Xenopus tropicalis: one gene and its partner. The protein of the gene in region 2 purifies or fractionates together with the protein of the main gene of each other region. This does not show direct contact. Links are inferred from orthologs where the notes say so. Each region holds a gene or a part of one and is shown on either strand. Other genes may lie near its edges.

Region 1 (3,748 bases), on a different chromosome or scaffold from region 2:
GCCTCGGTAGCCACAGGCTTTACAGGAATTGCCTATGGTTTGCTTCTTAGGATTGACATGCTGAAAAAAACATTAGATGTCAAATTAGACCTCAAACAAATAAAAGGTGTCCATACACCGAAGGTAGGCGTTATTGGCCCAATTCGAATTAAGCGGGTGGGCAACCCTATCCAAGAAGAGGCCCACTAAACCAGACACCTCCCCAGGTTACCATACACTGCACGTAAAAAAACTTAATTGTTCCAACATTCAAGGCTATTATTGTACTTTTAGGCTCACAACAGAACATATTCTAAAAAAAGTGTCCAAATCAGACAGAAGTCTGTCATTAGTATTGATAAAAACCACACATCACTGCTAAAAACCCATGTGCCTACACCCTTACAAATCATACCTTTATCCTGTTATAATGCAGTAGGTAACATGCATGTCAAATTACTAATGTTCAAGCACAGACTGGCAGTGCTGTATTTTAACTCCAGATACAAAAAATATTAAATTGAATATCACCACATTCAAGTAAAAACCGTGTTGAAAGATTTGCACATTCACAATGTTGACCTCTTTAGGGTCAATAGCTCAATATGTTCCATGCCTCATGAAATATCAGGCTTCCACAAATATTAAAAGGCATCTGCAGTACTAGATAGAAATTGAAATGATAAATATATGTGGAATACATGAATTCTTACCAGATCAGTTTCAGGATTCTCACATTCAGGACACAGAACAAACTTTTTAATAAATCCATCCAACATATCTTGCAGCTTATTTGCCTCATGAGAGCCATTGACAATGTAACGGTCATTCTTAACATCAAACTGGGTCTGTGCTCCCAGCTCACAACCAAAATATTTGGTGGGATCTTGGAAAAAAAAAAAAATAAATACACAAAATGAATACATAGACTGGAAGTGGTCCTCCAAGACAAGACATTATTGGCCCAAGCAAACACAAACAGGGTCATGGCTGCCCAAAACTTGTGTGTAATATAAGCATCAAATCAGATATCTACAACTCACTAACATGTTTCAGCAGTCAAAAAATACAAACCTGTCACACAGACTACAGCTCTGTAGAGTAAACATTAGCATTAAATGTAAAAACAAGGACAGAGCATTTCAGTGGATTTAAAATATAGAAGTCGATTACACATAACTGTATACAAGAAGGTAAAGCACTACTGCAAATTCAACTTACAGGTTGGAGGCCGATTAAGCGCCTTTGCAACATCAACCATGTTGACTATTACTGTCTTTATTCCATTTCCTTTGCCCTCTACCTGTAAGAAATAAGGAAACCAATGAGCATGGCAAGTAGAATAACTTATTTTAAGACTTTGTTGCAAAATACAAATAGATACATTACCTTAGCAATCAAACGGGGCATTTTGTACCGATAGAACTGATCGGAAACACTTCGGTTGACATTGACAGACATTTTGGTTTATTATTAGCCCTTTCAATAACGAGAAATGGTCTTTGATTGCAACTTTTTGGTATCTTCTGTCTGGAGAAGACTGGATGACATAAACGACTGCAAGAGTTCTCGGTCTCTGACATGAAAATAATTTCGCCACCGAGGCTGCAAGCGTCCTGCTTGTATGCTATGTTCCCCCAATACAGGTACCAATGGCTGCGCAACAGCTCTGCAGAGGAGGTACAAAAATATAACACATCAGAAAAACAAATTAAAAAAAACACAACTTAAAAAGGCCTTATAGACATTATGTACTGCACTACTATGGTAGTATACCCCTTTTTTAACATGACTTCAATGAAAAGGTCTTGCACTGCAGCAAAGTTTTTGTAAATTTCTTTAGCAAAACAGGTAAAATTAAGCTACTCAATGTTGGGTCCTTGCAAGGCAGAGTACCAATGCACTAATTATTTCCCTGCACAACAGACTCCTGCTAAGAAAAGTCACAGTAGTGGGTGAAGGAAGGGGACCTGCTCAGAAATAAACCAGATTTTTCATGATTATAACAATAGGCAGAAATTTTGTTCATAAGCCTTATTTACTGAACCAGAGGATATACTGCCTCTTTAATTTGGTAAAGAAAAAAAACTAACTTTTTTTGAATAATGAAAGAAACAATGCCAAGCAATTTTCCCCAGTCTAAAATAATTCAAAAAGCTGTTGAGAAAAAGTTCCAGTTTGTTGGTCTGATAATCAAATGATGCTATATTGTTCCAGGAGTCAGAACCAGAATTGCAGAACACCCAGAAAGATACTGCTTTCACTATTTTGAAAGACACTATATATATATATATATATATATATATATATATATATATATATATATATATATATATATATATATATATATATATATATATATATATATATATATATATATATATATATATATATATATATATATTATTTATATTATCTCTATCCTAATGTAAAACCTTATAGAATTAAAATGAAAAACTTTCTGAGATTACAAAAAAAAAGGAAATAAGTCTTTCCTTAACTACAACTTAGCTTTATAAGAGTTTCAATGTGTTAAAGCAGTGGCCCAGTCTCGAGGAGTTAAAACAATGTTTACATATGAGCAGATGGGACTAATTGTAATAGGTGAGCCATAAGCCCTTGGGAGGCGTCAGAAACCAGGTAACTCACCAAGGACTATAGGGGTTAAAGAAAACAGACATGAGTAAAAAGGCAGCTCTGGGGGAGCGGAGGGCCAGCTGCTCCGGATGACTCACAACTGCAGCACTGAGTCAGTCCTGGAATCGCGGCCACGCATGCGCACACTTCCCAAATTCTCCCACCCCTTATCTTTTATACCCACAACCCACCTTGACGATATCACCCCTCTTCCGCCACTAAAAGCATGTTCTCAACCCACCCACTTATAAGCCCCACTTCAGTTTGCCCGGGAGGCCCCGTATCCGCCGGCTGCAAAATGCGTCACGTCTGAAGTCACGAGGCACGGCAGCCATTTTACATCAACATCCCGCTGCGGCCTACATTAGGGCGAACGTAGCACTCCCCCTCCCCATTAGCCTTCCGGTCGGTGCGGACAAATTCCTCGACAAAGACCTTGAAGTCGCCCAACACAGAGTCCAGAACAGTGGTATTGTCGCATGTTGCAATTCCCAGCCCCATAGCTTGCTGTACAGCCGTGTTTTAACCGAGGGACTAGCAACCTTCAGCCCTCAATGTAAGGCTAATAGCCTCCTGCTGTTTTTTTCGTTTTCATTCGTCGACTAATGGAGCCCCACACTGCTTATGTAGCGACCGTGCTCCACCTGTAACATATGCAACGCAGCCCGAGGGTACTTACCGTTTTCGTCCAATAAAGACATAAACACAACGCTGCTCGCCCTGGGTGCGATGAACGGGAAGGCAGGATAAAACGTCTTTACGATGTACACACACAGTGCGCTGGTTGGGGCGGCGGTGGTGGAGACGGCACAGCACGACGCTGGCCAACACACCAGCAGAAAGCTCCAAATTATAAGCAACAAAACAGGAGACACCCTCCGGCCGGGGGATCTAGAAAAAACAACACATGATGATCAGCAAGTGAGAGCTAGCGCGAACTGCGCAACTACTTAGCACCGAATGGGTTAAAGACGTTGTTAATTAATAATTAAGTCTTTAACTAATCAAATGAAAGCAGCTGTTTCGATGCAGGGTATAAACTTAGGGCCACACTGACTCATCACTCACCTCAGAAAGCTTCTAGCTGTCTCTAGCACGAAAAGCGCAGAGAGTTGATCTTTACCCCCTCCCC
Region 2 (3,748 bases):
GGGGGACTGCAGGTGTCGGTATGAGCACGTTTGGGGGACTGCAGGTGTCGGTATGTGCATGTTTGGGGGACTGCAGGTGTCGGTATGAGCACGTTTGGGGGACTGCAGGTGTCGGTATGTGCACGTTTGGGGGACTGCAGGTGTCGGTATGTGCACGTTTGGGGGACTGCAGGTGTCGGTATGTGCACGTTTGGGGGACTGCAGGTGTCGGTATGTGCACGTTTGGGGGACTGCAGGTGTCGGTATGTGCACGTTTGGGGGACTGCAGGTGTCGGTATGTGCACGTTTGGGGGACTGCAGGTGTCGGTATGTGCACGTTTGAGGGACTGCAGGTGTCGGTATGTGCACGTTTGGGGGACTGCAGGTGTCGGTATGTGCACGTTTGGGGGACTGCAGGTGTCGGTATGTGCATGTTTGGGGGACTGCAGGTGTCGGTATGTGCATGTTTGGGGGACTGCAGAAGGTACAGAGGGAGTTGAAATGTGAGCAGATTATGATGAGAGGGGGAAAGGGGATTGAACAGAATTTTGTAAATATTAGATCCAGGGAGTTCCCATTGGAGTGAGAGGGGGAGTCAGAGCACAGAGATAACCCAAAGGAGGATGTGAGTGAGAGGAGTTTAGAGACAGGAGGGGCATTAGGGTTGTTACCAGGTTAGTACAATGGATTTCAATGTGCTGGGGGCTGAGTTCCTCACAACTGTAACCAAAGCTCAAGCATAATGAGAGCTAGAACTCCGGCCTCATGGCAACACTGCAGCTTATGGGCCCAGCTGAGGGAAAGCATTGGACGACCAACCAACAGACCCTGCTAGTGATAGACTACACGCAACCAACAGCCTCCATTCACATTATTTATCATGAGGCCACTGAAATAATAAGGGGCCCAAGCAAATATCCGCTGTGCGCCGCCCTATAATCGGCAATAATCTATTAGCCACAGGGCACGGTAACCGCCAAGTGCCAGTAACTAGTACAAAGTGAGGGAAAAGTACTGGCACTAAATACAAGCGCTACAGCAAATCGACTTCCGCCTCCGAATTCTCGGATTAGATAGTGGAAATTGAAGGACAGCACTATAGAGCGGCACCGGAAGCGCCTCTCTATCCGCCAGCTTGAGCTTGTTACTAGCGCGCAGTGTGGAGCCATCTCTCTCTTCAGCTTCCGGAAGCGCTAGCAGCCGCGGCCCAGTGCAGCACAGACATGCCGACCGCAGACTAGAGCGGCACCGGAAGTACCTCTCTATCCGGCGGCCTGAGCTTGTTACTAGCGCGCAGTGTGGAGCCATCTCTCTCTTCAGCTTCCGGAAGCGCTAGCAGCCGCGGCCCAGTGCAGCACAGACATGCCGACCGCAGACTAGAGCGGCACCGGAAGTACCTCTCTATCCGGCGGCCTGAGCTTGTTACTAGCGCGCAGTGTGGAGCCATCTCTCTCTTCAGCTTCCGGAAGCGCTAGCAGCCGCGGCCCAGCGCACCACAGACATGCCGACCGAAGACTATGAGTATGTGCGGGGAAATAGCATGGGAGCCAAGCGGGGAGTAGGAGGGCAGGGAACACACACTGTAGTCACGGTTGGAGTGAGAGTCTGTGGCCAAATGGAGATTTAGGGGAGACGTTCAGCCTTTGGGACCCTGTGTCCTACTTTAGGATTTCCAGATGTTGGTGGACTACAAGCGGGCCCGGTCTGGCCATCTGTGCGCTCTGGCAAATGCCAGAGGGGGCGCTGTCACTGTTTTATTGGGCCTGTGGGAGCCTCTGTATCATTGAATTGCACGATTGGATCCAGTCCTGACTACAAGTCCCAGCCATGTGAGTTGTAGTTCACCAACATCTGGGTATCCAAGTGTATGTAAGGCTGGGAGAGCCATAGTGTGTAGGGTAGGGAGGTCCAACCTAGGGCTGGGCGATATACCGTTTAATACCGAATACCGTTTTTTTTTTTTATAAAACTATATTCATTTTTCAGATACCGCAATACCGGGGTGTCAGGGTACTCACCCGTGCGGCCCGGTCTCGCGCGTGTCCCGTTGTCCATGGGACGTTGCGCACGCGCGCCCAGGTGCGCATGCGTCAAAGCGCACGTACATGTCAAAGCGTGCGCGTCTATGACGCGCTGATGGCGCCGGTTCTGCGCATGCGTGGGGGGTATTTAAAGTTATCAAACGCCTCCTCCTGTGCTATGTTGTCTGCGGCCTTGCCTGGGAAACTAAGCCTGCCTGATTTACCTTACGACTTTCTGTTGCCGATCCTTCACTTGCCTGACTCTGATTTTCAATACTGCAGTAATTATTCTCTAATTTATTAGGAAATGGGGTTAACACCTAATCATGCATGGAAAAAAAAATACCGTCAAATACCGTGACACCGATATAATTTTGAAAAATACCGTGATATAAATTTTTGGTCATACCGCCCAGCTCTAGTCCAACCTGCAACCCTCTGGCTTGCAGTGTATGCTGGGAGTTCAATGGATATTACAGGCTAGCTTCTGGCTGAGAGGGGTTAGGAACTTATAGGTGATGAGTGAAACAATACTAATTTGGGATGGGATGAGCCCTCCCCACCAGGGAGGGAGCGGGTACGAGGCTGAATGCCAGGCTGGCAGATGTGGGTATCTAGTCTGAGATCTCTGTTTATCCTTTCAGCTCCAAGCCCAGCTGGGCTGACCAGGTGGAGGAGGAAGGAATAGACCCAGAACCCATAAGTCCACCAGTCACCAAGGTCCAACAAGATCCAGCCAGCTGTGAGTATTTATTTGCAGACCTACACAAGGGTATCCGGCTACAGGGGCAGAAAGGGCATGGAACTGCCTTGCGTGTCACAAGACCACATTAGACTGCTAATACCGCGTTTTTAGCCTAGCAGCTCTCTTGAAAGTCAGTGACCAGCCTGTCCAGGTTGTGCATAGTCACTTAGGTACAGTCTGACTGCTCTGATTGCTGCTGAGCCAAGAGCCTCTTATTAGCACTAAAATAGAAGGTTAATGTAAACAGTGTAATTATGTCAATAAATGTTAATTTTTTTAGCTTTAGATCCCACTTATTTCTTCCTCTGTTGACTTTTCAGCAGTGTAGACAAAGCAGATAGCCGAACATTCTCAAACTTTCTCATTTAGTGCTCCTATAAAGTCCTGTTTTGGGTAGTGGAGCTGAACTGTATATTTTAAATTAGAATTCCACTCACTACAGTTACCCCACAGCAACTGGAGGCCCACCGACTGAATGTGGCCCTCCAGATATGCTTTATGGCCCCCAGTCTGCTTTAAAGCTCTATGGAATTCACTGTATGAAATAATTTTAATGTAATAATCCAAACATTGTATATGAGAAATAATTAGCCCACTACATGCAATAAGCTGGACAGCTTTACCCCACAGTAATAGCTGGCTGAATTTAGGCCTTGTTGTGTGTATGTTTGAGCAGGCTGTCTGTTATGATTATGATTTTACCCCCCCCCAGTTGTTCTGGACACTCCTCAAGAGGTCATCAATGGTAAAATCAAAACTATCACAGAGTACAAGCTGAATGATGAAGGCAAGAAAATCAAGGTAGGGACAGCGCATTATTATTGGTGGGGAGGGCTTGCACTTTGTTTCATTTTCATACTCTGTGTACTTATGGGAGAAAGGCTTACATCTGCTACAGATGCTATGAATGCAGTATGTCTTTTATTATTTCATAAGGTTCCTTATCCCTGACAACATGAAAGCAAAATGTTTGAATATATTTTCTGTGTTTTTTTTTTGTTTT

What was found. Proteins that work in one complex are often made in the same cells at the same time.
Region 1: the proteins of eif3g (region 2) and eif5 purify together in Homo sapiens (affinity purification with western blotting; 3 studies listed by BioGRID and IntAct, with this or other methods). This does not show direct contact. The link is inferred for Xenopus tropicalis from reciprocal best matches to the Homo sapiens genes EIF3G and EIF5.

Annotation. Positions count from the first base shown.
Region 1 is NC_030684.2:98,282,813-98,286,560, reverse strand, and holds the start of eif5 (eukaryotic translation initiation factor 5), read right to left. Parts: upstream 2,752-3,748; 5' UTR 2,629-2,751; intron 1,649-2,628; 5' UTR 1,441-1,648; coding exon 1,369-1,440; intron 1,283-1,368; coding exon 1,201-1,282; intron 866-1,200; coding exon 693-865; intron 61-692; coding exon 1-60.
Region 2 is NC_030679.2:137,098,723-137,102,470, reverse strand, and holds the start of eif3g (eukaryotic translation initiation factor 3 subunit G), read left to right. Parts: upstream 1-1,448; 5' UTR 1,449-1,480; coding exon 1,481-1,500; intron 1,501-2,644; coding exon 2,645-2,742; intron 2,743-3,457; coding exon 3,458-3,546; intron 3,547-3,748. UniProt on the Homo sapiens protein: RNA-binding component of the eukaryotic translation initiation factor 3 (eIF-3) complex, which is required for several steps in the initiation of protein synthesis.